Linked DNA regions of Elephas maximus indicus. The protein of the gene in region 1 purifies or fractionates together with the protein of each later gene. This does not show direct contact. Links are inferred from orthologs where the notes say so. Each region holds a gene or a part of one and is shown on either strand. Other genes may lie near its edges. The genes, in order: BCORL1 and YAF2.

Region 1 (15,620 bases):
AAGTTAACAAGAATCCCTGCTCCTCTCTTTTTTTCAATATGCTTTTATATAGGTGCACTCATTGGATTCTCCCAACAACACTATGCCACTGTTAGGTCCCTCAGACTTGAGTTCAGTAAAATAAAGCACACAGTGAGCTCAGAGAAATCTACTTTTGAGACTTGCAGGCTCTGAGAACTTTGCCTGGGAGAAATGTTCAGACAGAGAAAAACACGGTCTGTGTCGGTCCTGGCAGGGCCCTCCAGACCTATGGCAACTGCCCTCCATTCTCTGTCCCCACAGAGCAGCTCTACGACACCTCCACAGCAACCTGCAGACCAAGAAGAAGGCTCTCTTTCAGTCAGTCATTCAGTCAACAAACATGTATTGAGCACTTTCCCATCAGCACCAGCCCTTCTGCTAGGCTCTGGGCTACTTGGATGAAGAAGCCTCCCCTGCTCACCGTTCACTGTGCACTCCTCACCTCTCAAGCGCCATGTTTTGTAGTCTCTTTTCCCTTTCAAGGCACTCCTTGATGTTCATTTTATTCTGTTGAGCGAAGTCAGGGCTAATGGTTTTGAATCTACCCCAGCTGCTTGGTCTCTGATGCGCCTACAACGGGTGCCTTTGGAGAGGGCAGTGCTCAGGACATCAAATGGGGCTATCAGACATGGGACATGGGTATCACAAGCCTCCAGAGGAGATGCAAGCCTGTTTATTTTTTTGTCCACACCCTTGACAAGTCAGGAGAAAAATCATGTGATCAGCGTTGTGTTGGAATAGCATTCTCACCTTGGGTTCTGTCAGAGCAGATGCTTCGGGTTTGGAAGGCCTCTGGAAGGTCTGGAAGGCCTTTCAGGGAGACTGTCTTATTGGTCCTGGGGACATGGCCTTGTGCATTCTTTGTGGTGAAACTCTAGTTAACGAAAACACCTCTGGATTTTGGAATTTTCTCATTTACTAAAGGTTAATCCTTAACTTCTTTTTTTGTCCTGCTGCTTTGAGTAGGAAATCTTTCTAATATACATGAGCCCACTTTCTGGATTGTTAGTAGAATCTACTGAGCCACTGAATAGAATCGCTCTTTGTTGACTGGGTATCTTGCAAGGATTTGCCATCAGTGGATCCCTAATTGGGGTCCCCAAGCCCAGAAAAGCCTGTGGGAGACTCTGTGAATTGTGTTTAGTACTTCATAAAGTCTATTGAGACCAACTGGTAACGTAGAGGAGTCAGCAAAAAAGAGGGAAGGCTTCAATGAGATGGACTGACACAATAGCTGCAATAATGGGCTCAAACATACCAACGATTGTGAGACTGGTGCAGGACCAGGTAACGTTTTGCTTCATTGTACATGGGGTCATCATGAGTTGGAGCCAACTCAGGGCAACTAACATACACGCACGCACACACGCACGCATGCGCGCAGTGAAACCAAACACGTACCTGCATGAAGCTGCAGAGATTACACATCGAGTGCTTTTCGGTTTTGGCTGGAATAAAATTACCACAATGTGGCTAGTTCTGGCTGATCTGAAGCTCTGGTGGGTAGTTTTGGATGTGTTTGGTAAATTTTTAATTGGCAAATTAATTATTACAGGAAAACATGTTCTGTTTAAATAGATGAGCATTTCGAACACAAGGGAGTTCAGGGCACAGACTCTGAAGTTAGACTGTCTGGATTCGAATTCTGACTTCAAAACTTACTCGCTGGGGAGAAACAAAAACAGAACAAGCAGACAAAAAATGAAACAAAACTTATTAGCTGGGAATGGGTAAACAAATTTGTGGCATATCCATATAATGGAATATTATGCAGCCATAAAAAGGATTGAAGTACTAATATAAGCTACAAAGGTGAATGGACCATGAAAACATTATGCTAAGTTTGTGATTCATTTACAGGAAATGTCCTGAATAGGTAAATCCGTATAAATGAAAGCAGATTGGTGGTTTCCAGGGGCTGAGGGAGGAGAAGAATGTGGGAGCAACTGCTTAACGGGCGTGGAGCTTTATTTGGAGGTGATGAAAATGCTGATGGTTGTACAACGTTGTGAATGTACTAAATGTCACTGATTTGGTCACTTTAAAATTGTTGATTTTATGTTATGTGAATTTCACCTCAATTAAAAAAAACCTTAATAGCTGGGCAACCTCGGGCAAGTCACTGAACTTCTCTGTGCCTCAATTTCTTCATCTGTAAGAGGGGGAAATAATACCTTGTGGGGCTGTTACGAGTTAGTATTTGTAAAATCCTTAGAACAGTGTCTGGTACGTACTAAGTAACATATAACTTTGTTAAATGGAGTCCCTGAGGGAAAAGAAATAATAAAACCCTTCTTAGCGAAAAGTTTGGGCATCTCTGGGAAAGATGAAAATGGAAAAAATGCTCAGTGTCTTTCAAGGTATAGTCCATGGATCCGCTGGTTCAGAATTATCTGTAGAGACTTTCAGAGATGCAGAGTGCCAGGCACCAGCCCGAATCTATTAAGTAAGACCCTGGGCAGGAGGGTGCCTTGGAATTTGAATTTTAACAAGCTAGCTCTCCCCAATGATTCTTATGTATGTTAAAACTTGAGAAACATTGGTGTAAGAGTTTATATTGAATGTGTGCTGACAGCAAAACACTCATTTCATGGATTTAAAAAAAAAATCTAAATACCTGATCTTAACCTGATTTTTAATTATCTTGCAAGTCTTCACAAAAATGGACAATTCCTCCTCTGGAGCCCCTTGCAGTTTAACGAAGAAGAACAGAAACACAAGAATATATATAAACACACATGCACACACAAACCCAAAATAAGAATGGTATCTTTACCAAGTTATCTATAGCAGCAAAACTATGTGCTTACTCTATGCTGTTAATGTTGGTAGTGCTATGCTGGGCCGGGTCGAGGACACAGGAAAACATAGCCCTTGCCCTCTAGACATTTATAAATTTAAGAGGCAAGATGGCTACTGAAAAGGCTGAGTGGTTGATTTGAGAAGGGCAGTGTCTGTACGGATACGGGGCATTGGGAGAAGGCATGGTGGGCAGGACTTGAGGAGGCCTATGCCCCCACTGCTCCCCAAGAACAGCTACTGTCAATGAATCCCAAATATTCATTGAGTGCTGTCTGCTCAAATGCTGGCGGGCGAGGGGGGAGGTAGGGGAGGGAGGTGGGGATCCACCTTCTGTGACAAGGTGCCTACCCTCAAATGGGGAGGTCAAACTAGCACAGAAAAGCATTAAGTGCTAAGCTGGGCAGTACTTAACCTACCAAGAGGTTAGGGATGAGAGCATTCCTAAAGGCAAAAAGCATTTGGAGAAGGCTTCCTTCAGGTGGGACTTGAAGGATTTGGCCTGGGAGAGTGGCATTCAGGTGGAGGCACTGGGATAGGGGTGAGAATGTTATGTGTGGGTTCAGCAGGGCACCTCAGTCCCATGCCAACTTCCCCACCACACAGCAGGACAAACGCAGCCATCCCAGGAACTGAAATTTGGTTAGCGCCAGTTGATTGTTGGCCACCGAACTGGGCGCTAGTCTCAATATTTTTTTCCTCAGTATCCTTTAGCCTCTTTTGGGAGGGGGATAACCGCTTTACTAAATAAGGTCTTGTTAAATTTCATTCCATTTCCCTTACTGAAAATATACTTCTCTTTTTCTTTATGTTCAGGTTGTGGCTTTTATTCCTGGGCTTGAATTAAGCAGGTACTCCCAGGTTCTGAACTCATAAACGTTTCTCAGATTTTAAAAACACTGCTATTGAGCATCTATTAGGTGCCAGGAACTCATTTGGTCCTTATAACGTTTTCAAGAGGTATTTATTAGCCCCAATTTTATAAACAAAGAAACTGAGGCTCAGAGAGAAATGCCCAAGGCAATATCCCTAACTTCAGAGATTGTGTGCATCGCCACTATTTGGGAAGAGAAAGACTAAAAGAGACCGAGACTTAAAAGTGAGTCTTTAACTGGCAAGAAGGGAAGCCAGGTCTGGGCCTCCACTTCCCCACTGTAAAACAAGGGAGTTGGACTAGCTCATTCACTCATTCATTCACTTAACAAACATTTATAGTGGGCCTAATCTGTGCCAGGAAACCCTGGTGGCTTAGTGGTTAAGTACTACGTATGCTAACTAGTAGGTCGGGGGTTCAAATCCACCAGGTGCTCCTTGGAAACTCTATGGGGCAGTTCTACTGTGTCCTATAGGGTCACTATGAGTCGGAATCAACTCGATGGCATCGGGAATCTATGCCAAGGTGGGGGAGAGAGGAAGAAGAATGTGATACACAGAGGAGAAATACTGGGTCCCTTCATCCAAGGAATTAAAAATGCGGTTGGAAAGAGACATGGGCAAAGTATATCAAAGTGCTAAATAAAGGGATAAGCTAAGTACTGTGGAGATACCCTAGAAGGGCAGTTAACTTCCACAGGGAGGGGGCCGGGGTGAGGGAAGGTGTCCTGAAACAGCTGGCAGTGGGCAGCCACAGCCAGTTTTTCAGGAGAGCAGGTAATTTCTTAGAGTTCCTTCCATCTCTAATACTGTATGTTTGATTAAGAACTTAGTTAAGTGCCTGAGAGTCTTCGGGGGGAGTGGTCAGCCAGCTGGAGGGGGCTTGACCTGGTGAGGCCTCTGGGGTGAGTCTAGTCCCCTTTCGTATTTTCCCCCCTTTGGCCATAAAATCTAAAAAGGTTGTTGGTTGTTGACAGAGTTAAGTTTAACCAGACAGGCTGGCTCGAGATCTAGACCCGCGGTCCTACCAGGGCAGAGCCCAGGCCTTCCCGGGCAGCTGGCTGGCCGTTTGTTCTCCCTCGGTGAGCCAGCGCTTGGTCCCCAGCGCTCAAGGGCTGCTGGAATGCACGAACAGCAGCAACCCTGCTGTAATAGGGTTTGTGATTTTGAGATTTACAAATAGCAGGCATTGAATCCTCCCCCACCCCTCCCCAGAACATAAAGTGAAACACTGGCAAACACCATGTAACCCTTGGCCGGCCCTGCCGACCTCACACCAGCCCAGCACTGTCTCCTAGCAAGTGTGAGGCTCTTTCTATCTCCCCCTCGCCCCTGGTCCCCTTTCCACCGGGGTGACTTAGAATGAGCCCTTTGGCAGCCTTGAGACTGAGTTCCAAACCTGACTTCACCTTCAAATGAGCGACTGCAGCAAATGAAGGGACGGCCAAGCCTCCAATTTGCTTCCCTCTGACATTCTAAAGATATAAAGTATTTGGGATTTTTTTTTTTTTGGTCCTAGGGCTGGGTTGCTTTACCAGAGAGACAAGACCTCTGATTGCAGAACAAAGCAGAGAATTGAAGCAATTATCCTATGAATTTAGTTGGAGGTTGGTTTGGGGCTACTGAGACCCCCTCCCCAATGCCTTGCTTTGTCTGGTAAGTTGCAGGAGGGTGGGGCCCAAGCTGGAGTCACCCCTAGGTCTCTGTACTACATGACCCCAGAAGCTTATGGTGTACAAAACCATCTCCCATCCTTTATCTCATACGATGCTCACTGCTCGCGGAAGTAGGGCAGGTACCTTGATTTCCGTATTATGGGGGGGGGCGGGGAAGAGACCCAAAACATAGTCCCTGGCATCGGGCTGGCACTACTCAGTCAAATGTTACGGCTTGTTTGAGGTCACATTGCTAGTTATTGACAAGACAGGACTAGGACCTGGTGGTTCTTAGAACTTCTCAACAATCCTCTTTCCATTATACCAAGATGCCTCTCTGAGAGTCAAGGCCTGGGCCAATAGATCTTATTGGTGGGAGAAATAATCAGAAAAAACAATCTGCCTAAAAAAGGACTACTTTGGTATTCAGTGGAGACAGGTACCATATTGAGAAGAACTCTGGATGGGGAGTCAGGACTACTACTTGGGGGTTGAGTCCTGGCTCAGGATCTCACTAGCTATATGACTTTGAGCAAGCCACTCATTGACTCTCATTGACTCAGTGTCCTCACCTCAATTACAAAATTGAGCATTGTGAGAAACAAATGAAATAATGTAAGTGGGAGGGCCTTATAAACCAGTCCAATGCTGTACGAAAGTAAGGTATTATTATTATGGTTATGTTGCGGTTCTTGCCTAAAATAAAATCATCATTAATATCTACATTCTTTACAAGGTTTCCCACACTTCTCTCCACCCTGCTCCTTGGTTTCCCATCATCTCCTGTAGGGCAGGAAGCCTGGCCCCCAACAGGAAAGGGCTCAGAGAAGCTAGAGCTCCAGCCAGGAAACAACCATCTTGCCCCAACCTTCATCTCACCAGATAAATGATGCAGCCAAATGGCGAGACACAGACTAGTGGGAACAGAGGTGGCCAGAATCCATTTCAGCCTCAGACCAAGGAGCAAAGTAGCCCTAAGGCCCTAAGAGCCTTAAGAGAAGTAGAGATTTCATAATTACTAGATTTAATTAAAATCAGCAAAGATGATCAACTTAAATCAAAGCAGAATTGGTGGGGCCCCCTCAAGAGGCAGTTTCCCCCTAATAATGCATTTTGAATTCATATGTTGATTAGCTTGAACAACTTATTTCCAAATCTTTACCTTCCCTTGGTGCACCTTAGGCCAAACACTTTTGGGCGGCAGGCGTGTATGGGAGGGTGCAGTGGCCAAGTAAAACAAGCTAGTGAGGAGGTTCCCAAAGCAAAACAAAATGGCCAGCACCATGTCCATTCTGCAGCCAAGAGATGTGGAGGCTAGTGAGGACAAGCAGGAGGGGGTCATCCAACACCAGGCCTCAGCAACAGCAAAGCCACTGCAACCTTAGATAACTTGTCCTCCTCCTCAGTACCCACGCACATCCCTCAAACCAGGTGAGGGAGACAAACCATCTCAAAAGTCCTAGCAGAGGAGGGAAGACAGCCCCTAGCTTACAGATGGACCCCCTGGGCCTAGGAAAAGGGAGGGGGTGGGAAAGAGGAGGAGGAGGGCATTCATTCGGCAGGGCTTCCTTCTAGCCCAAATGACTCTCCAGCTTCCTTAGTATGGATAAGTATATAATAAATAGTATCAATATATCTGCACATAAAGTTTTTTTTTTTTTAATTCCTGCTATTCATTCCACATTCCGTTTACAAAGCGCTGAACCCTCCAGGAACTACTGGGCACCTCCCCTAATACCCTCCAGGCTGAGGCGATGCCTTTGAAGTCTCTACTACAGGCTCAGGGTTAGAGCTGCTAAGCACCCGAAGACTGAAAGCGAGTCTGCCTGCAGTTTCAGCTCCTTCGCAAGCTTCTCTCCTCGTTAGAGTTAATGTAAAGTCACCAGAGTTCGAATGTGGACCACAACTTTGCTTTTCAGCCCTTCAGTCCAGGGGATGGCCTGGGATGTAAATACACAAGAGAATTTATTTCTTTGGCCAGGCCGGGAGTCGTTAGGGTAAAGGGTAAGGGTCAAGGGGCTCGGATTGGTGCCTGAGGAACCCAGGAAAAGCGGGCAGAACCCGAGTCCTCTTCGAGCCGGTTTTTGGCCCCCGAGTCGTGCAAGATTCCCCCTTTATAGACCTTTCGCCCCCTTCCTCCTCTCCCCTCTCCCGCTTCTCAATCCCTCCCCCACCCCGCCCCGTGCCTCCACCCCGCCCAGGTAGGGGGCTGCGCTTTGAGGGCGGCTTTGGGAGTTTGCAGCCCGGGAGGTTACCACGAAGGGTGGGCCGCCTCGGAGTCGCGAGGCGAGGCGGCGAGCCCCGGCATTTTCCCTTCCCCAGCACCTGTCCCACTTCAGCCGCGGGCGGCCTCGGTGCCCGAGCGCCAGAGCCACGCACCGAGGTCGCTTGGGGTGGGGAAGTGGAGGGCGGGGGGGGGCGGGTCGCCTAGTGGGGCGCCCCCCTCGGCATGCAATACCCTACACCCCCCAACACGCACACAGTGAGGCTAAAACGGGGAGAGAGAGTCACAAATAAAGCACTAGCGAAAACGCTCGCTCTCCGACCCCGAGCGGCGCTGCTCGCGGCCCCCCCCCCTTCCTGGAGCCCGGGGCTGGCCAAGGAAGGTGGCTCCGCTCTTCCCCCGTGGCCAGTGCGGGGTCTGCGGCTGCCGGGCGAGGTTCCGGCTTCCCCGGGGCTCGCAGGGGGAGCCCCGAGAACTGCAGGCCTGCCCCCCTTCCTCCTCCTCCTTCCCCTCCTCCCCCACGTGTCCTCCCGGAGCCCAGCGGCCTGATCTCAGCACACCCCCCCTCGCTACCTCCCTCCTCCTCCCGCGTCGCCCGCTCCCCCGGCGGCGTGGAGAAGAGCAAAGTTGCCACAGCGGCGGGCGGGGGGGCTCTCCCCAGGTGAAGGGGGCGCCGTGGGGGGGCCGGCGCGGCCCTGCGGCGGGGGCGGGGGGGGAAGAAACTTGCTTCCCATGGCCCCCACCGCGCGCGGGTTCGGATCCTGCGTGGACCGAGCCCTCGTGGCGAGACGCGGCAACGGCGCCTGGACCGAGGCCGGGACCCGGACCCGGACCGTGCGCCTGGGCCGCCTCGGCGGGCGCAGGCAGCGGGCCAGGCCGGCACTCAGGCAAGGGCGGGGTGGGTGGCCGCACACCGGACCGAACCGGGGACGCGGGTGGCCTGGGCGCGGGCCGAACCGGGCCGGGGCCGAGTTGGGCGGCGAAGTAGGACGTGGGTTCGGGGGCGGGGCGCGCGGGAGGGAAGCAGGCCTGGAGGGCTGGCCTGGGCGTGGGGGTGGGGGGCGAGTTCGGGGCACTTGCTGGGCTCGGGACCGAGCGGTAGGGCGGGGCGGCGCGAGGGCTGGGTCGGACCCGCGGGCCGAGCAGGGAGGGGAGCCGGGGGTGGAGTAGGGGCGTGGAGTTGAGAACGGGGTCTGGCCTCGGCCGGGGGCGAAGGTAGATCGGCGGGGCCGCGAGCCGAGGGAGGGAGGCCCGCGGCAGCGCGGCGGCGGCGGAGGCCAGCTTCCGTGGAGTTTGTGCCGGGGCTGCCCGGGCTCTGGCCGCCTCCCGCGCACAAATGGGGAGAGGGGACTGACTGGTAAGCAACTCCGAGTGTTAGACGGGGTTCGGCGGCGATTCCGGGAAAGGCGAGCAAAGACACCGTCTGCAATTACGCCGCACCCCCCACCCACCTCTTAGCATCTGGATCCTGCTCTCAGGGGGCCGCGGACCCTCCCCGCACAAGCCTTCCACTCCCCAGCACTCCCACTGCCTCCCGTCCTTTCTTGGCCATCTGACTCTCCTTTGGGGTCTGCGTAGAGGGGGGGGGGGTGCACGATGATGGTGAGGCAGACTTTCCCTCCTGCGGCGGCAGGCTAGTTCGTATCTTATTCTACAGTGTAGCGTCGCTTCGAGTCGCGTGGACGTTGGGGTTTAGCTAACCTACCCCCTAGGTACCCCAAGCAATTTGTCTTTTAAGGAAAGGGAAGAATCCCTGGATTTCCACGCCTGGGATGAGGTTTGAAGATTGGGATTCACTCCCGGCTCACTTCCACTACCAACCCCTTTCCTGCGAGCCATTTCCACGGGAATCCGAACCTGGCGGGGGGAGGGGGGCGGGAATATTAACGTGCTTCTCTATCTCGACACAGGATCGGTGTGGCGGAGGACGGCTGGCCTCGGAGGGAAAGTCGCCATCAGTCCAACTCGAGTCGCCCCCACTATCACTTAGGTGAGGGGGGCAGAACTAAGAAGGGGATACTGGTGGGTAGAGGGCCCAGTACAAGGGAGGGGACTGGGTCTGCGCCCCTAAGGGACTCCGATTCTTGGCGGGGAGACAGAGGCAAGCCCCGGCTTCAGGGGAGGGGTTCCGGGGAGGGAGATGGGGGGTGGCGACGGCTGGCGGGGGGGGGGAGGGAAGAAGGGGGGAGTCACGCCCTGCCAGCGAGGGGAGCCTCCCTCTGGCCCCTGGGAGGAGGGGACTGAATGCGTTTGCTCTGTGCTGCCCGGCAGGGGAGGTCTCCGGATTTGCACACTGGATCCGGCACCAGTGGCCTGAGAAAGTCAGGTCGGGGCATAAGGTGGGGAGGGTTGCAAGAAAGAGAAATCCCTGGCCTAGGCGCACTCATCTCCCTTCCTCAACCTCCCCCTTCGGGGGACGTCGAGGGGGGGCATGGAGCTCTTGCAGCCCCTCGGGTTGAGCACCTCCGCCTCTCCCAGGAGTCTAGCTTTTTGCCCGGCTTGCTGCAGCCACCGCTGCGTCCCTCTCCGGAATCCGCTCGGTCCTCGCCGCGATCCCCTCCTCCTCCCCTCCCCTCCCAGTGTCACCGGGGCTGCTTGGCTCTGCCCCCTTCGCCGCCGCTTGCTCCCTGCTTTCGTCCCTCCCTCTCTTTGCTTGCTCGCTCCCTTCGCCTCCTCCTCTCCATTCCCCCCCCCACGTCGGCGGTGTTCTGGGAGTTGTAGTCCCACGGAGCAGGGGCTGGCGCCGCCCGCGAGCCCGGCCGGACTCCACTTCCCGTCGAGCCCTGCGACCGGCACCCACTCCACCAGGCATCTCTCGCACACACAGACACACACACACATCGCTCTCCCCCTCACTCTTTCGCTCGCCGCGGCTGCTGCCAGTGTGTGGCTCTGTCTCTCCTCCGCTTTGCTGAGCCCTCCCTTCTTCCTCTCAGTTCCTAGAGTCCGACCGCCGCCGCCGACAGAGAGGAGAAGGAGGTCGGTGGCGATAAGGGGCGGAGGGGGGCAGCTGATCTGGGCGGTATTAGGCGGGTGGCGGTTCCGAGGGGGTTAGAGGGAGCCCGGGTGGCGGCCTGAGCCTCCCCGCGGAGCCGACCCGGGAACAGGTGCGTCTTTTTTTTTTTCTCCCCCAAGCCTCCACCCCTTTTGACTCCCCTGCTTTCTCGTATCCCCCCACTGTCTTCTTTCTATCTTAAGCTTTTCACCAGCCCTGTCCCTTTTTCGCCCCGTGGCCGCTCTGCTTGTCCCTGGGGGCGCCGTCCTCTTCGTGTCCCCGGACGTAGCGCTCCCTGGAGCTCGCTCTGTCCTCGCCCCTCCCTTCGGGACAGCTCCCCTCTACTTCCCACCTTCGTACCCCATTCCTCTGCCCTAGCCTACCTTCGCCTCACCCCCTTCTCCCGTAGCCAGGTGAGACTTGTTCACCAGGATCCGAGGAAGAGTCTTCTTCCTGGCTGGGCGGGGGCCTCCATGGAAACACGGGGGTCGATTGATCCTGGGGAGGAAACCATTGGAATTACCCTACTCCTCGGAAAGGGCGGTGGAGGCTATGGTCTTGTGAACTCTCTGGTCCTCGACCCCCCATCCAAGAACCCGACAACCCTAAGGGAGGCTGGTCAGCAGGGCAGGGCGAGAAAGGGCTTGGTTTTTTTTTTTTTTTTTTTAGGGGGGTTGTCCGTGATGAAGTCTTGAAAAGACCAGGAGAAAATACCCTCCAACCTCAGAAGGGAGGTGCGCCGGGTGCTCTTGAAGGCTGCTTTCTCCCCGGTGCTGGGGTGCGGGAACCATAGGGTAAGGGGGACCCCTGGGTGGCGGCGGGGCCTGGGTTCGGGAGTGGGAGTGTTGTGATGGGGGCAGGGGCAATTAGCCGAGTCCCTGGAAAAAAGGCGGGGGATGACTTCGGAGCGCCCTGGCTCAGCTGCCCTCGCTCCAGGGGCGGGGGCCGCCGGGCCGGGCGCGGTGGGGAGGGGGCTTACAGGGAAGGAGGCTGCGATCGGGGGCAATTCACCCTAGCCCCGGCCAGCAAGGGGGAGAGCCAGCGTGCAAGCCCTCCACCCGCCTCGCGCCAGGCCTGGAGGCACGGGGTCTGCGAGCAGAGCCGAGGGCTGGAGGGAGGGAGGCTCCGATTACGGGGCCGGGTTTCGGGATCAGGGGCAATCCCCCAGCCCTGGGAGAAGGAGGGAGAGGGATGGCCGCGAACCAGGGGCTCCCCCCGCCCCCTCGCCGCCGGGTCCTAAGGGGCGTGCAGAACGGCCAGCAGGCCCCGCGGAGCTGGATTCGAGCGGATCGCGGCCGCGGCGTGGGGGGGCTCGGCGGTGGGCTTCGGGGGGAGCAGTCCGGCGGCGGGGCGGGCGGGCGGGGCGTGGGGCTCCGGCGGGGCGGGGCCGGGGCGGTGCTGCCGCCGCCGCCGCCGCCGCCGCCGCCGCCGCTGCTCCTGCTGGGGCCGCCGCAGCCGTTGCCGCCGCCACCGCTTCTGGGCGGGGAACGGAGGCCAAAGGGAGTCCCGTGCCGGGGCAGAGGGCGCCGCTGGCGCGCCGTGGGGAGGGGGCCGTTTTGGGGGCGGGGGCAGGAGGGAGGGTGGAGCCCCGACGGGGGGCGGTGCGAGCCCGGACGACGACGACAAGGAGCCTCGGGGGCCGGGTGCATGGAGGACGAGGTGCTGGGAGGAGGAGGGGGGGGTGGGTTCCGCGACGGGCCTCGTGGGCTTGGCTCCTCGAGGTTCTGCTTCAGGTCAGAGCCCTGGAGGGGGGCCTGGGAAGGGACAGGGAGGTGAGCTGGACGGTGGAGGGGGCCCTCCTCGCCGGAGTCCCGCCGAGAGGAAGGCTGGGCCGGAGGGACGTCCGGGGCAAGACTGGGAGGAGCCGGCCGCACCTCGGCTCCGGGATTTCGAGTTATGGAGGTGCAGGAGATTGTGGTAGGGGAAGATGTGGTCGAGGGGAAAGGAGGGAGGCAAGCACACTGCAAACCCGGGAGACCGACAGCACAGGCCGGTGAGGGGGGTTCTACTATTCCGCCTGCCCCTTCCCCCCTCCCCCAGTGGAAGCGCTATGTTTCTGTTTTATTGTTTTGAAATGTTTAGTGGTGGTGGTTCGAAACTGTCGGTGTGGTGGTACTTAGTCTCGATGTCTCCTAGAGTCATGACAGCGTCAAGCCCCAGGGATTAGGCACTCGCGAGGGGGATGTGGGAAGGGGGCAGGTAACTTTGTGTTACAGCTGAATACTCGCAAGGCACTTCGGATGTTTTCTCCGTGGTACAGAAGTGGAATACAGTTGCAGAACGCTTTGGTGCTACTTCTGGGGATGCAGTTGTCGGTTAGCATCACACTGGGTTAGCTCCATAGTTGTTTCAACTTAAAAGGCTAGTTCTCAAAGTCACGTTGCTGAAATGTTTTATGGGGAAGTAGACAAGGGGTGCATTTGGGGTTAGGAACGTATTAGGTGAATAATAAAATGCTAGGGTTGGAAGAGACATTAAAGGTCATATAGTTCTCTGTTTGTTTTGTCCTTGAATGTTGGCATAGAAGGAACCTTGTTATGGGGGAGATGGTAGGTGGCACAGTGGAAGATACTTGGAGATTTAGCGGTACTCATATCCAAAGATGATATCACTGTGTGGTACCGAAGATGAAAGAATGTAGAAATTCGGGAGGTTTCACTGGGTATTAAGCAGGGTAACTCAATCCCAAGAATCACCCAGAATCTCTAAATAGAAACAAAAGGTTGGGGAGGAACTTATAAAATTCTGATGGAGAAGCGAAATTAGTAGGACAGACTCGGGGAGCTGGGAGGAGCAGGGGGTTTGGTGAGTCAAGAGAGTCTGAAGGTTGATAGTAGAGTTTAGGAGGGACATGGCCATCTTGACTAAGTCAAGTGAATATTGATAGGCAGACCCATCTTTTGATAGGGCAGCTGAGGCAGCTGTCCTTGAGGTGGGTGTAGGGTGTGAGGGGCACAGGCCTTGGGGCACAGATCCTTACTAAAATTGGCTGTAAGAGAACTGACCCTGTTACATTAGGTTTGCAGCAGGGGTGGGTAGGTAGGTAGGTTTCTTTCTGTCCTGGAGCTGAAAAAAATGGGACTCAAAAAGTAATTAATGGGGGAAGGGAAAGGGGTCCCTAATGCCTGGGCTAAGGAGAACTAGCTCTTTAGAATATGCTAATAAGGAAGGGAAGGCCAATCCTCGAGATGGGCAGAGGAAAGCTAAGGCCCTGAAAAGCTACGCTGTTGGAGTCTGAATTGGGCAGAGTCGAGGGGAGTTCCAGAAGAAAGGACAGCTGCACCAAGGGCACTCATGTGGATCTGGTCATTTTGATCTGCCAGGAGAGGGTAGGGGAGAAAGGGAAAGATACATTTATTTCTCAGTGGTGTGGACTTTCTTGGGAAGCAAAAAGATTTCTTCTAGGTGTTTGTTTGCTTTATTCATAATTTAATTCACGAAATAGTTGTTGTTAGTTGGCATTGAGTCATTTCCAACTTAAGAAGACCCCATGTGTGTCAGAGTAGAAGTGTGGTCCATAGGGCTTTTCATGACCTTTCGGAAGCAGATCTCTTTTGAGGCACCTCTGGGTAGGTTTGAACCGCCAACCTTTCAGCTAGTAGTTGAATGCTTAACTGTGTGCACCACCCAGGGACTCCTATAATTTGCTTCATAGGAGGGGAAAAATGTTTAATACAGGTGGCAGAGAATCTCACAACGTGGTTAGTCTAGATCATGGGCTGCTTTTAAGGGAACAGAATTATGGGAGGAGAGGACTTCAGTACTAGAAAGGAAGAGAGTGGATAGTGAGGTAAGAAGAAAAATGATCATCACTGGTCCCATGTTTGGGCCCAGTAAGGAAATGTCTAGGACAATGTTCTCCAAAGTAAAGTTTGAAGAACCTTTACATTTCTTTACGGTGTCATGTTAAGATCACTAAGGAGGGAGCAAGAGATAAAGAAGATTTTGGGTAGAAATACGGTTGGGGAGAAACTGGCATTTAGGAAGAAATATAAATATATGTACCCATAAGAAAATAGAGAACTTAGAAATAGTATACAGGTTTAAAAAAAAAAAAAAGTAAGAGAGAAATAAAGAGCCAAAGGATGAAGACAGTTACTCAGATGGCATTTGGAGCTGCTGTTGGAGAAGGAAAAACTTGCCTTTCATGACAACTGCCCCGGTAGGGGCAAGGAAGCAGGGATTAGCACGGATCCAGGACTAAGCATTAATTAGAAAATCTAGAGGAAAGTAAGGATACTGAATGGGGGAAGGAATCCGCTGTCCTAAATATAAAGCCCTTGAAAGAAGGAGAAAGTGGGAATACACCAGTTTTTCCAGTCGGCAAGTGGGAGGGATCCTAGATACAAGGACGTTAGTGATGGAAATTCCAGAGTGAAACAGGATAAAGAGCAGTGGCAGGAGGGCCTTGGCCAGAATTTGCGGGTGGGGTGCGGGCATGGGGGAGAGGCGCTAATCAGGGGTTGGACAGGATGACATCTGAAGCCTAGGCTCATTGATTCTGGGCTGAGCTAAGACTGGAATGGAATAGAACAGCCACAGGGAATAGAGAGCTGTGTTCCAGGGCCAACCAGCATTCAGGATTGAGACAGAAGGTCTTGGTTGAGTTTGGGTGAGGAAGTTACCACTAGAGTGGAACAGAGAGCATTCTGGGAAAGTAGAAGTTGGTGGTGGGTGGGATAAAATAGATGGGAAAGGGGAGAAGGCCGCCACTGATAATTGTAAGGGGAGGGAAGACCCTAGACGCTAAACAAAAACCAAACCCATTGCCATCAAGTAGATTCTGACTCTTAGTGACCCTATAGGATAGACTAGAACTGCCTCATAGAGTTTCCAAGGAGCGCCTGGTAGATTTGAACTGCCGACCTTTTGGTTAGCACTTAATGGTTACGCCACCACGGTTTCCTCTAGATCTTAGAGTTTTCAAAAAGAAAAGAAGATTTTCACTGCTGGAGTTCAAATTAAAAATGAGTCAGTACTTGCCAGAATGTTTAATGTCAAGATAGCCAAAGAGGGAGGTGATAACCTACCTTTTGGCCACTGGGATGCTAGT
Region 2 (15,117 bases), on another chromosome or scaffold:
GAGAAATGTCATGTATGTTCTTTCCTTTTGGTTTTCTAACTCCAGGTCTTTGCGCATTTTTTGATAACACTTTACTTTGTCTTCTTGAGCCACGCTTTGAAATCTTATGTTCAGCTCTTCTATTTCATCATTTCTTCCAGTCACTTTAGCTACTCTACATTCAAGAGCAATTTTCAGAGTCTCTTCTGACATACATTTTGGTTTCTTCTTTCTCTCCTGTTTTTTTAAAGGCCTTTGCTTTCTTCAAGTATGAAGTCCTTGATGTCATTCCACAACTCGTCTGGTCTTCAGTCATTGTTCAATGTATCAAATCTATTCTTGATATGGTCTCTAAATTCAGATGGGATATACCCAAGGTCATAGTTTGGCTGTTGTGAACTCTTTCTAATTTTCTTCAGCTTCAACTTGAACTTGCATATTAGCAGTTGACGAATGGTCTGTTCTGCAGTCGGCCCCTAGCCTTGTTCTGTCTGATGATGCTGAGCTTCTTTATCATCTCTTTCCACAGATGTAGCCAATTTGATTCCTGTGTATTCCATCCGGTAAGGTCCACGTGTATAGTTGCCTTTTATGTTGTTGAAAAAAAAGTACTTTCAATGAATTGGTCATCGGTTTTGCAAAATTCTATCATGCGATCTCCAGCGCATAGGCCAAATTTTCCAACTACTAATCCTTCTTCTTTGTTTCCAACTTTCACATTTCAATCACCAGTAATTATCAATGCATCTTGACTGTGTGTTTGATCAATTTCAGACTGCAGAAGTTGGTAAAAAATCATCAATTTCTTCATCTTTGGCATTAGTGTGAAAGTTTGAACAGCTGTATTAACTAGTTTTTCTCGTAGGCATATGAGTATTATCCTATCATTGACAGCGTTGGACTTCAGGACAGATCTTGAAGTGTTCTTTTTGACAATGAATGTGATGCTGTTCCTCTTCAATTTCTCATTCACAGCAGAGTAGCCCATCTGTTTGTCTGATTCAAAATGGCCCAAGCCAGTCCATTTCAGCTCACTAATGCCTAGGATACCCATCTTCAAGCATTCTATTCCATTTTTGACAACTTCCAGTTTTCCTAGATTCATACTTTGTATATTCCACATTCTGATTATTCATGGATATTTGGAGACGTTTCTTCTCATTTTGAATCACGCCACATCAGCAAAGAAGATTACAAAAGCTTTACTTCATCCATGTCGACTCTACTCTTCTCCAGTCATAGTTTGAGTGCCTTTCAACCTGAGGGGCTCTTGTTCCAGCACTATATCAGGCAATGTTTTGGCTGTTATTCATAAGATTTTCACTGGCCTATTTTCTCAGAAATAGATTGTCAGGTCCTTCTTCTTAGTCTGTCTTAGTTTGAAAGCTCTGCTGAAACCTGTCCATCACGGGTGATCCTACTGATATTTGAAATATTGGTGGCATAGCTTTCAGCATCACAGCAACACGCAAGCCAGCCACCAGAGTACAACAAACTGACAGACGTGGGAAGCATCAAAACAAGATGGAAGGAATACACAGAGTCACTGTATTGAAAAGAATTTGTCAATGTTCAACCATTTCAGTAGGTAGCATATAATCAAGAACCAATGGTATCAAAGGAAGATGTCTAAGCTGCACTGAAGGCACTGGTGAAAAACAAGGCTCCAGGGATTGATGGAATATCAACTGAGATGTTCTTACGAACAGATGCAACACTGGAAGTGCTCACTCGTCCATGCCAAGACAGCTACCTGGCCAATTGACTGGAAGAGATTCATATTTGTGCCCATTCTAAAGAAAGGTGATCCAACAAAATGTGGAAATTATCAAACAATATCATTAATATCACATGCAAGTAAAATTTTGCTGAAGACAATTCAAAAGTGGTTTCAGCAGAACATTGACTAGGAACTGCCAGAAATTCAAGCTGGATTCAGAAGAGGATGTGGAACAAGGGATATCACTGCTGATGTCAGATGCATCTAGGCTAAAAGCAGAGAATACCAGAAAGATGTATAGCTATGTTTTATCGAATATGCAAAGGCATTCAACTGTGTGAATCATAACAAATTATGGATAACATTACGAAGAATGGGAATTCCAGAACACTTAACTTTGCCTGTGCAGAACCCGTACAGAGACCAAAAGGCTTTTGTTTGAACAGAACAATGGGATTCTGTGTGGCTTAAAATCAGGAAAGGTGTGCATCAGGGTTGTATCCTTTCGCCATACTTATTTTATCTATATACTGAGCAAATAAACCAAGAAGCTGGACTATGTGCAGAAGAATGTGGCATCAGGACTGGAGGAAGACTCATGAACAACCTGAGACATGCAGACGACACGACCTTGCTTGCAGAAAGTGAAGACGATTTGAAACACTGATGAAGATCAGTGGATTACGTCTCAACATAAAGAAAACAAAAATCCTTACAACTGGATCAGTAAGCAACATCATGATAAACAGAGAAAAGTTGCCAAGGATTTAATTTTAATTGGATGCACAATCAACACCCATGGAAGCAGCAGTCAAGAACTCAAAGGACATATTGCATTGGACGAATCTGCTGCAAAAGACCTCTTTAAAGTGTTGAAAAGTAAAGATGTCACTTTAAGGACAAAGGTGTGTCTGACCCATGCAATGGTATTGTTAATCACCTCATATGCATGCAAAACCTGGACAATGAATAAGGACGACAGAAGAAGAATTGATGCACTTGAATATATGGTGTTGGTGAAGAGTATTGAATATAATATGGACTACCAGAAGAACACACAAATCTGTCTTGGAAGAAGTACAGCCAGAATGCTCCTTAGAAGCAAGTATGGCAAGACTTTGTCTCTCATGCTTTGGACATGTTATCATGAGGGATCAGTCCCTGGAGAAGGACAACATGCCTGGTAATGTAGAGGATCAGTGAAAAAGAAGAAGACCCTTAAGGAGATAGACTGACACAGTGGCTGCAACAACCGGCTCAAACACAGCAACAAGTGTGGGGATGACGTAGTACTGGACAGTGTTTCATTCTGTAGTACATAGGGTTGCTATGAGTTGGAACTGACTCAGTGGCATGTAATACCACCACCACCACCAGTAGTGTTACAAGAACGTACTAGATAGGTTAATTTCAAAAATCTTTTCTGAGCCCCCAGACACCTTTTTAGCTCAGTAATGAAGTCATTCCTGAGGTTCACTGTTCAGCCAAAGATTAGACAGGCCCATAAAACAAAATGAGACTAAATTGGCACACCAGCCCAAGGACAATGACAAGAAGGCAGCAGGGGACAGGAAAGCTGGTAATAGGGAACCCAAGGTCAAGAAGAGGAGAGTGTTGACGTGTCAGGGGTTGGCAACCAATATCACAAAACGATATGCATACTAATTGTTTCATAAGAAGATAGTTTGTCCTGTAAACTTTCATCTAAAGTACGATAAAAAAAAATTTGCTCAACTTTTTATGTTGGTGACATATAACTTTTATACCGAGCAAAATCAGTAAAGGTATCTTCATTTTGCAAAAACAAAATAAACCAAAACACCAAAGAAACAGACAAAAACCAAATTAACCTTTTAAAATGTGATTGGTTTTACAATTGTAGTTTATTGTTGTTATATTTCATTTTGAGTTCTTCTCTCAGGGAAGAATTGTATCTTATTCCTCTCTTAGTCACACTAATTTCCTTTCAAATTCCAGTTGATAAATGAGACAGTGCTCACCATATCAAGTATTAGCCCTTGTTGTCTAATAGGTGTATAAAACTTTAATGCATGGTGTTTATTGTTGTTGTGTTTGTTTCATGGGCATAAACTTGGGTCTAATTAGAACAGGCTGGGGCCCACGGGACCACGCAGTTAGTCTCTCAATGTATGTAAGACAGGGGCACTCAGTCTTTTTTATATCTCAACAGCAAACAGATTACTGTTCAGCTGCACGCATGATCTCACGTACAGTTTCAGTAATTTCTCCAGTCTTTCCCACTCTAGGAAGCATATTAAAATGGAAATGAATATATCAGTTACCTTGGAGTTAACTTAATTTTTTAATGGTAAATTATTATAATACTTTACCACTTTTAAATTGTTAAAACAATTGCCAGTTTGTGTCATTTTACAAGTGACCCCAATGAATTACGTTTGCGGACTGAACTCTGCAAATGTATTGAAAAGGCACCTAAATGGTTAAGAACCTGGATCACTCTAGTGACAAGGATCTTCCTCTTCTGCAGTCACTCTTTTCAAACCGTAAGAAAAACACTTCAGGAAAAAAGATTGGACTCTTGTGGTAAAGAAGGAGGAGGTGCTTCTTCACGTAAGTTTAGTAAAGGCAGGATCTTTCTAAGAGAAAAAAAAAAGCACCCAATAAATGGTCAGCAACTGGTATAGTGCAAGGGCATGTGCTTCATAGAAACTGGGTTCAATCTCTGATTCCTCTACAAGGATTACTTTGCAGAGTTGTAAAGTTCAGTGTGCAGGGCTGTAAACTTCAGCATTTATAGACCATCTACTGCATGCCAATATGCGTAATGGGCTGTCAATCTCAGTGTGAAAAAACACCTCATCCATGAACTGTGGCATGGATGAATTTATTCCTTCTCAAAATATTTATTAAGTGTCCATTATGTGTCAGACTGTTCTAGTGACTGGAGGTGCAGCGATGAATACCACGAATACAAATTCCTGCCCTTCTTGCACTTGTGCTTTGGAAGTGAAGCTTACTTTCTAGTGGTGGAATTTATTTTCTAGTGAAATGGTGATTTACACCACTGACAACTTTTTTTAGAGTTCTTGATTTGATTTTCTTTTGATTGAAAAATACAGTGTTGCCATCACTTTTGCAAACAGACCAGTTCTTGTCATTCTCTTTGATGATGCATCCAGTTGAGGAATATAAAAAACATCACAATGCCTTAGAGTTGGAAGGGACCTTAGTTGTGACAATAGTTTTAACTCTTTATTTTACTGATGAAAAAAACCCAAGTGGCTTAATTAAGTTTACCCATGGCATTACTGAGAGACTGAGACTAGGCTTTAGATCTCCTTCTCTTGTATGCTTTCCTCAGTCAAAATCCCCATGGTTTCTGAATCAGGATTTGAGTCAAAAAAAGTGACACTTGCAAAAAGTACGGATAGTGCTGAGTTCAGAGGCTGCTGCAAATTGGGGTGATTTGGTTAAGCAGAACACATGGCTTGGTAGAGGACTAATAGACATCTGAGCTCTAATCCTGGCCTATTCATTAAACAGAAGCCATTTAACCTAGGCCCTAACTTCCTTGTCTTTTAAATGAAGAGATTAAGACTAGAGAAGAACTAACATTTGCATAGTACTTTTGAGCCTTATAAAATACCCATTTGTATACAGAGATTTACAAAATGCCTGGCATATAGTGCTAAAAAATGTTGTATTATTACTAGTCACGCAGCAACCTTATATATATATATATAGATGCCATTTTGCAGACAAAAAAATTGAAAATTACAGAAATTTTTCAAGATCCATCAGTTAAAGATTAGGGGAAACAGGCTGGGAACTGGGACTTCTAACTGTACTATTTCCTTTGTAGCACATTAAGACCCTTTCAGCTATAAAACAGAAAGAATTCTTTAGGAACTCAGATCTGACGCGAACCTACAAAGATGGGCAGAAATAGTAGTCAGAGACAAGGGCAGATAACCCACTAAGCAAGCTTACTTTTACTTACTAATCTATAGTGAACAATTTCACGTGGGTGTCACCGTGTATTTGAATTGTTCACTACAGATTAGTAAGTAAGCAAAAGTAAGCCCATACTTACTTTTGCTTACTGGATTATCTGCTCTTGTCAGGGATTGCAAAATTGAAGACAGTCTTTGATCCTGTAGGAAGGTGCTGTGGGGTTGAGAGAAAGATGCCAGCCATACCAGAAGCAGAGTCTTTCATGTGGTGAAAACACGTGAATTGTTCACTACATATGATCTGGTAAGCAAGGTAAGCACTGCGCTTACCTTGATTATTGGATAATTGATCTCTAGTCAGACCAAACCGAAAAAAGAAACCCAGCACCGTCCAGTTGATTCTGACTCATAGGAAACCCCGGTGGCATGGTGGTTAAGTGCTACGGCTGCTAACCAAATGGTCGGCAGTTTGAATCCGCCAGGCGGTCCTTGGAAACTCTATGGGGCAGTTCTATTCTGTCCTATAGGGTCGTTATGAGCTATGAGTCTGGTCAGAAAGAAGGGGGAAATATTTCATGCAGTGCACGAAGGGTTTCGGCAAGCGGTTTCCTCTTTAATCCTCCTCAGGAGGCTGCGTTTCTGTTGGGGAGTAGAATGAGAGTTAGGGAAAACTTGTGTTAAGTCTTTGAATGCCAGCCTAAGGAGTCTGGTCGCCATTAGCTTATGAGCAGAGTGGTGGCATAATGTTAACAATGTTTATTATTAATCTGGCTGTGGTTTAGGATATATACTGGTGCGGTGGGATTGGAGCTTCAGAAAGCAGTTACATGGCTGTACCAGAGTGTAGAACAAGGTGATGAGGGCCTCCATTACGTTGAGACCAAGGGAAAAGTGTTCCTTTGTCAAAAAAAAAAAAAAAAACGGGTTTGCAAACTTGTTATTAAAAAAAACAAAGGTTTATGAGTATTCATTTTCTTTTAAAAGCTGCTACTGCAGAGTCCTGGAAAGCCAAGAGGGCTAGTTTGGATTTAAACCAGGCTCAGGCTCTTTTTTTCAGGCTCCTAGATTTGCACTTTCTAATATGTAACCTACAGGAAGTCACCTAATCTCTCTTGAGCCTCAGTTTCATTTTCTCTAAATTGAGGGTGACAACGCCTATACAGTAGAGCATTTGTGTGGATTTAGGCAGACAGTGTTTGACACCTAGCAATGGCGCTCAATGTCGGTTCCCGCCTCCCCCCAGGTATCCTTCGGGCGGGTGTTGAGTAGACATGGACGGCTGAGGCCAGGAAAGCGGTTCTACCTGCAGACTCCCGCAGGTCCCTTCTGTCCCGCGATGGGTTACCTCCGAACGCTGGCCTCACTTCGAACCAGGCTTCGCGTGGGATGACGGAGCATCCCCAGTCCTCCTGCAGGCCACACGCTTCCTAGCAGGAGCTCCGAAGCGTGCGACACTCGGGGACGCAGAATGGAAGCGCGGGAAAGAGCGCGGAGCTGCGGCGGCTGCGGCGGCGCCCGAGGCTGCAGCGGCTGCCAGCGAACTGGCCGCGGGTGCTGGGCCGCGCTAGCCGTGTTTGAAGTCTCCGGCGCGGCCGCTGGTTGGCAGGCGCGGGTCACGTGCGCCCAGGCAGGAGTTTCCCCGACAGCTGGAGGCTGCGTGGGATCCGGCGGCTGCTCCGAGCTCCGCGGTGCGGCCTTCCCCGCCCCCTCCCTCCTCCCTCCCCCGCCTGCTTCCGCCGGGCTTATTATCCTTCTTATTGACAAACAGAGCAGCCGCGGCGGCGACTCTTGGCGTGCGTTTGTAGCCAAGCCATGGGAGACAAGAAGAGCCCCACCAGGTAAGAGCGCCCGGCACCGGGGTCCCGACTGTGCGAGCGGCGGGGCCCTCGCGCTGGGTTTCGGGCGGCCGCCTCACTCGCCGCCCGGGCACCGGGGCGAGAACGGGGGCGGCGCCGCTGCTGCGCGAGCGCTGCCGTGTGAGGGGCCAGCGCCGGCCACCCCACAATGGAGGCGCGATGGCGGCGGTGGCCACAGGGGCAGCCCCCAGTGGTAGAGCGTCGGCGGCGGCTACTGCGGCGGCTCTCGCGCCCTTCTCCTCCCTGACTCCCCTCCCCCTCCGAGCCAGAGCGCAGCGCGCCGGGGGCCGGTGAGGCGGGGGTCGCGGAATTGGGGCGGGGCGGGGATGGCCGCGGGGCCCGGGCGCGGCCTGCTGGTGACCCTGCGCCGCGTCGTGTCTGGGTTGTGTCCTGCAGGCCGAAGCGGCAGCCGAAGCCGTCCTCGGATGAGGGTTACTGGGACTGTAGCGTCTGCACCTTCCGGAACAGCGCCGAGGCCTTCAAGTGCATGATGTGCGATGTGCGGAAGGGCACCTCCACACGGTGAGTCCCGGGCCTGCCCCGCGCGCCGCCGGGTGCCCGGGTGGCGGCGCAGAGGACGCCCCTGCGGCGGCCGCCCCTTCCCGTGACACTTGCAGACCCAAACGGTAGGAGAGGTGAGACTGAGGTGGTGGCCGCGATAGCAGCTGGGTCAGATTGATCGCGACCTAGGCGATGGTTTGTGGTGAGGGGTAATTGAAGAGGCTGTAGCGTTTTTTGCTGCCAGGAGAGGATAAATTATTTAAGAGAGGCATTAGCTACTGCGATTTAATTCGTATTGCTGAGTGTAATGGAGCCCCCCCCCCCCCCCGCCCCGGATATAATAATCTTGGCTGCATTTTTGTATTAGTGTGTGGGGATCAAGGAAAGCCCATGAAATCCACTTTGGAAGCAAAGGATGTAATCTAATTGCATTCCTCAAAAAAGAAAAAAGTATCTGTAGAATACACGGTAGCTTAAACTTCATTTTGAAATATGGAAGGGTCTTGTTTAGTATTCTTATGGAAATTCTCCAATATTTTATAAATAAATAGTTGGAGGTAAGCCCACTCAATAGGACACATTTTTTTACTGAAAGTATTTGAATAGCTTTAGCTTGATTAAGTGGCAATCTGTTAGACTATACAAATGAGATAAAATGATCCCTGCCTATTTTCAGTTTTAACTTTATGTTATTGTACGCTTAAAGTATAATAGTTCTGTCTCTTAAAAAACCACTTAAGTCAATTAAGTGGCTAACGAAAATCATCCAGGAAATTCGAAGTCAATGACGTTTTTGATCTCCCAGCACTTAGGGAGTTGCTTTGCCTTTTTATAGGAGGGTAGCCTTTGAATTAAGTTGTTAGAATCCTCTGATTTATAGCTTAATATTTATATAGTTTATGTAATATGGTCTTACAAAGTCTGTTAGAAATGAAATTATTAAAAGTATAAGAACATTATTAATATCTTACAATGTGGTCTCTTGTTAAAAAAAAAAAAAGAGCCTAAATATCGGTAATGTTAGATTTAAATATTCAGTTGGTATTAGATTTCTGAAAATGAGATATCCTGATTTTTAAACCCCATTTATGGGATTTCATTAAAAAAATGTTAATATAGAGGTAGAAGTGGTTGACACTAATTTAAAATTTTAACATTTCCTTAGTGAAACCAGATGCTTTTGAAGTCTTTTGGTAAATCATAAGATGTTTTTTGTATATTAATTCCCACTCGTATTAGATAAAATGTATTGAACATTTTCATATTCTTTAAAAAACAAGTTTTTGAACATCTACTATATTCAAGGGAATAAAACAGCAGAACATTATAAAAAGAAAAAAGTACCTGTATGTGTAAATGAATCTGATCGTAAACTGTTTTTGGACCCGTGATTTAAGTATTTTGAAAAGCAGAATATCCTTTTATCTTGATATCTTTATTGCCTTGGATTTGGTTTAGGCTATATTTGTATATTTTATATTAGTACTTTATACTTTTTAAAATGCTCAATAAACAAGTTCTAGAAAATTTGTTTTTTTGGAGACAGGCGCTTTAAAGTGGAGACAATTATTATAATCTTAATCTCTGGTACTATGTTGTTGCTTTTTGTTGTTCCCTCTATTTTCTTGTAGCCAATAGAAAAATACTGAAATTAGAAGAGCCTATATGTTTATTTGCAGGGACAGCAAGGAAGGGGGGAAGCTGGTGTCCTACTCCACAGCCAGTCTTGGGGTTAGAGGAACCCTGAGAAATAGAGTAGGTGGTGACAGCTCAGAAGAGAAGAAACAGGCCGCATACCTGGCACCTGGAAGAAGAAGGAATATAGTGCACAGGGGAGTTGGCCCAGGACAGAGAAGTGGGCCTAGTTTAAAAGAGGCTTGAGGCCCATGTGGGGGCCCCTGACATTTTTTACCAGTACTTCTGAGCTCTTGTAGATCCAATTTTTAGTGGTGGAATCATTACTTGAGGAGGACTCAGAGAAGCATTGTCATTTGGATTGAAACTGAAGAGGCTCTGGGCAACTCACCAGAAGTCTAAGGGACACTCTGTTCCTAAAAGTAAGTGTTCTACACTAAGACCCTCTCAGCTTCTTCCTTCCTCTCTCTGAATTGTCTCTTCTCTTTTGATTTTGGCCATAAATTAAACGTAAGAGCTCTAATTTCTCTGTTAATCTGTTGTTTTCCTATCACTGTTTCTGAAATTCAGAGTGGAATCCATGTTTGGAAAGAACAATAGAACAGGGCATTGTTAATAGGGCAGATATTGATGGCATCACAAAATAGTTTGCTCTTTGGTAATATTAGAAAAACAGAATGAAAAGACTGTAGAACACTACTAAGAAGCAAAAGTTGCAGTAGTTGGAAGAAATAATTCTCTACAACTGACATTTTAATTAGCAGTTAAGGTAATTTCAAGGGTAAGGCTGGAGAGTACCAAACCAAGGAACTGAATAGCTGCAGCTCTGAAGGATCCAGTTTGTTAATGACTTGTTTGTGTGACCAGAAGACAGGATTTCAATCCCTTGGGTCACACTGACCTTTGAACTGATGGTATCTCAGTCTCTTAAATTTATAGCCAAGTCTAAGCCATCCTAGACATTTAAAAATCCAGAGAAGATGATTCCATCGTCTCCCTTAAAGTCTTTACAGACCATTTTTTTTTTAAGACTATCTAGTTCAAATTCTCTACGTTGCAACAGAAAACTCTTTTGGATATTTCCTTGGTAGGTCATGCTTTTCTGCAGAACGACTTTATATGCAGTGAAATGAGCTTATATTCATAAGATGTATTTCAAAATGAAATGTGACTGGACATAGCTTCAGTTCCTCAGATGATAAATTATATTATTTAAGTTTATGTTTCTGTGATTGAATTTCAGTTTTTGTACTTGGTGGCCTTCATGAGTTTAAATTTGATCTATTCAACTCTTTTTTTTCAAAATCCGGAATCTAAATAGCTAGATGGTTCAAATACCTGAAGTTTTCTACATTGTGCTTTTGTGAGTTAAACACTGATAAATGTCCTACTAATAGAAAAAACTTAGAAAAACAAAGCTGTGGTGACAAATGATTCCCATAAGTGGCAGACTGCCTTCTTCATCTTTATACCTGAAGTTCTTATGAGGCAGTAAGTGTCCCAAATGGAAACTTTAGGAAATTAAGAACCATCACCAGAGAAAAAAATGTGTGTGAGGATAGTAATCAGTATATAATGATTGAATTAAACTAGTATCTTATTGCCAGTTGTTCATATATATATGGAAGAATGACTTTATTGCTTAATTCAGATAGCAGATATTTTGAAATGAAAATAATAGAGCAGTTGGTTTTAGTTTTGAGCTGTGGTCTAAATGAGAACCTATGAAATATCTGGTACATAGCAGACTTCCAGATGTAATATCTTTACCTGTGATATTTTCTCAGTGTAACTTGTAAAACAGTTGTTCCTCCGTGTCTGCAGGAGAATTGGTTCCAAGACTCCCCTCCCCCACCCCTGCAGATACCAAAACCTGAGGATGCTCAAGTCCCTTGTATAAAATGGCAAAATATTTGGGTATAACCTGCACACATCCTCCTGTGTACTTTAAATCATCTCTTGATTACTTATAATACCTAATACAACGTAAATGCTATGTAAATAGTTGTTTCATCACAGTTGAAGACTTGATGTGAAAGGTAGCCTTTCTCTTCTATGAGTTTCTTGAGCTCTTTTGGGAACACTGATACTACATGGCCATCAGCCGATGCCTATTTGCCTGTGATCTTGAGGTTCTTGAGGTCGTAGAGCTTTACATAGCTAGCCAGCCATCCCCTACTAGCCTTAAACTTCCTCCAGCTGTCTTAGACCCATTCACACTTAGCCCTCGAGGGATTGCTTTGACCACTTTGTGGCTTTTTAGGAGCCATTTTACAGAAACCAAAGTGCACACAACACAAGTAGCAAACAAGAGGGGAGGTAAGCAATGCTCAAATGAGTTCTGGAGAGAAGCTGAGGGTCTGGGAAATGGTGGGAAGCTACAGCCTACACATCCTTTCATTTGCTTGGATTCAGCTTAGTGCTCCGCGCGTGGCAAGTTGAAGTTTTGCTTTTTGGAACTTTTTTTTTTTTTTATTAGTATTTTTGATCCACTGTTGGTTGAGTCCATGGATAAGGAACCCGTGGATATAGAGGGCCGATTATTCCTTTGGATTTCTCATAGGTGTTATTTTAGAGAAATGTGGAAAAGATTCCACATAGTGTAAAGAGCGCTAAGTATTGAAGTAGGAATCTGGTGATCTGGGTTCATATCTTATTTTAACCACTTCAACATTCAGCATTCAGCAAATGTTTACTGAACATGTTACTTTATGCAAGGTCTGAACTAAGTACTGGACATAAAATGGTGAGCAAAATAGTTACTTGTTTCTTCTGTAAGATTTTAGCTTTGTTGTCAAATTATAAACACTTTGAACAGTACCAAATTCTGTGTATGATGTACTTTTAGTAAATCTTTCCTTTATATATGAGCCAAAGAGTAGTAACTTCTCCATTAAAAAAAATCTTAAGTTTATAACTGAACTTATTATTATGATTAGGATCTGGCTGCTGGTAAAAAGAATAAATTACTTTTGCTTCTATAAGTTGGGGGTAAACTACATAGAATTCACATTCTGAAGAAACCTTAAGGAAACCAACTATTTGGTGAGAAATTTTTTCAATATTATTGTTGTATTATACTTGCTTTCTGTCTTCTAATTTGAAGTTTGATACAGAGTTGATTGTCTTAGACTCAGAGTGAGAATGGGAGAAAAAATTGAAGACGGTGTAAGTTAATTTTTCAGAAATACAGTATCCCCTGTCTCTCTGAGGATCTTCCTCAGCTACCACAGAGTTGTTCACAATAAAACTAAATAAAAACCAATAGCCATTGAGTCGATTTTGACTCCATGACAACCCCATGTATGCAGAGTAGAATTGCATTCCATAGGGTTTTCAAGGTTGTGACCTTCCAGAAACCCTGGTGGCATAATGGTTAAATGCTACGGCTGCTAACCAAAGGGTCAGCAGTTCGAATCCACCAGTTACTCCTTGGAAACTCTGTGGGGCAGTTCTACTCTGTCCTGTAGGGTCGCTATGAGTCGGAATCGACTCGGCGGCACAGGGTTTGGTTTTTTGACCTTCCAGAAGCGAATCACCAGGCCTTTCTTTCAAGATGTCTCTGGGTGGGTTCATACCAACAACCTTTTGGTTAGTAGTTGACTGCTTAACCAGTTGCACCACCCAGGGACTCCCGTTGTTGTTCAGAGACTCCTTGTTATAGGAGACTACTTGTTTGTTTTTTCTTTTCTGTATATCTTGGTTTCGGAGTTCCTGGGTGGTACAGACTATTAAGTGTTTGGCTACTAAAAAAGTTCGGAGGTTCAGGGTCACCCAGAGGTACCTCGGAAAAAAGGCTTGGTGATCTGCTTCTGAAAGATGACAGCTTTGAAAACCCTGTGGAGCACAGTTCTGCTCTGCAACACATGAGTCAGAATCGACTTGATGATGACTGTTTTTGAAGGTGATTATTGTTTGCATAGTCCAGAGTGGTGGTGGTGTTAGGTGCTGTCGAGCTGGTTTTGACTAAAAGCAACCCTATAGAACAAAGTAGAACTGCCCCATAGGGTCTCCAGGGGGCAGCTGGTGGATTCAAACTGCCTACCTTTTGGTTAGCAACTGTAGCTCATAACCGTTGCCCGACCAGGGCTCCTTTGGTGCAGAAGCAGTGGTGGGTAAAACTGCTGGTACCTTAGCATGAATCAAAGCAGCCGCACGAAATTGCTGTATTCCTCGTCTTCCTCACTATTGTGCGCTCAGAGGAGACATAATGCCAGTTCCACTTAAGAATATCCTTGATTAGGCATTAAGAATTATAAATTTTATTAAATAATGTCATTTTTAACATTCTCTCTGATGAAATGGAAAGTACACATAAAGCACTTCTGCTGCATACCGGAGTGCAGTGGTTGATTCCAGGAAAAGTATTTATGCAGTTGTTTGAGTTGTGAGCAGAATTAGTTCCTTTTTTCATAGAACATCATTTTTATTTGAAGGAATGACTGACAAAACTGTGGCTATTCAGACTTGGTTATTCAGCAGAGATTTTCTCAGAAACAAAGTGAGCCTGCCACTTCAAGGAAAACAATTGTCAGTATTTGCTGCCAGTGATAAAAGCTGAACTTTCAAATGAAAATAAGAATTTTGGAAAACTTGTAAGCACTACAGTAAGCTTCAGAGTTTCCCAGTACTTTAAAGACTTTTCTAATAAGATTGGCGGTGATATTAATGAATGTGATTTCTGATATCATACCATAAAATGTGTCAGCATTTGGAACATCTGCATAACTCAGTGACCTAATATTTTCCCAGTGATCAATGGATGAAGTTGCAAAACCATACGTGAATAATTCAAAGTGCAAAACGAACCAATTGATTTTAAAGGGAACACAGTATGAAAAGTTCATTGATGATTTCCATTCTACATTGCAACTAAACTTTGGGAAAAGACTCTTTACTGTGTTTTTATGTAGTATCAAAGAAGAATATCCACAGTTATCTGAAAAGGTTATTAAAATATTCCTCCCCCCCCTTTTTTTTTCAACTACTCTCTGGAAGTCGAGATTTCTTTATATTGAACCAAAACAATATACTGCAACAGATTGAATGGCAAAGCAAATACGAGAATCCAGATAGATGTCTTCCATTCTGAAGAATGTTAAAGAGTTGCAAAAATATAAAACAATGCCACTCTTCATACTTAGTTATTTTTGTGTTTTGGAAAATAAAGATTTTTTTCACATTAAAATATTTATATTGATGCGGAATGTTCTGATTATGGTTTTAAAAAATGAATATATACTTTAAATTTTTTTCTCAGTTTTCTAATACAGTAAACATCAATAGATAAAACTCACATAAACAAAAGTTTTTTGGGGTCTTCTAACCTTTAAGAGTGTAAAGAGATCTGAGGGCAGAAAGTTTATAAACTGCTGGTTTATAGTTTTATTAGCTTGAGCTTCTACACATGACATATTTACTTCAACAGGCGTTCTTTTTCTTTCCTTTCTTGAGTGAGGCCTCTAAAAACCAGTGACCTAGTTGTTAAACT

Evidence for each region.
Region 2: the proteins of BCORL1 (region 1) and YAF2 purify together in Homo sapiens (affinity purification with mass spectrometry; 5 studies listed by BioGRID and IntAct, counting the BioPlex papers as one, with this or other methods). This does not show direct contact. The link is inferred for Elephas maximus indicus from reciprocal best matches to the Homo sapiens genes BCORL1 and YAF2.

The regions. Positions count from the first base shown.
Region 1 is NC_064846.1:26,452,436-26,468,055, reverse strand, and holds the start of BCORL1 (BCL-6 corepressor-like protein 1), read left to right. Parts: upstream 1-8,144; 5' UTR 8,145-8,233; intron 8,234-8,537; exon of another isoform or gene 8,538-8,556; intron 8,557-8,790; exon of another isoform or gene 8,791-8,929; intron 8,930-9,482; 5' UTR 9,483-9,562; intron 9,563-10,246; exon of another isoform or gene 10,247-10,551; intron 10,552-11,236; 5' UTR 11,237-11,361; intron 11,362-12,210; exon of another isoform or gene 12,211-12,226; intron 12,227-12,345; exon of another isoform or gene 12,346-12,882; intron 12,883-15,266; exon of another isoform or gene 15,267-15,620. UniProt on the Homo sapiens protein: Transcriptional corepressor. May specifically inhibit gene expression when recruited to promoter regions by sequence-specific DNA-binding proteins such as BCL6.
Region 2 is NC_064822.1:96,839,174-96,854,290, reverse strand, and holds the start of YAF2 (YY1-associated factor 2), read left to right. Parts: upstream 1-7,322; 5' UTR 7,323-7,446; coding exon 7,447-7,472; intron 7,473-7,886; coding exon 7,887-8,012; intron 8,013-9,670; coding exon of another isoform or gene 9,671-9,872; exon of another isoform or gene 9,873-15,117. UniProt on the Homo sapiens protein: Binds to MYC and inhibits MYC-mediated transactivation. Also binds to MYCN and enhances MYCN-dependent transcriptional activation. Increases calpain 2-mediated proteolysis of YY1 in vitro.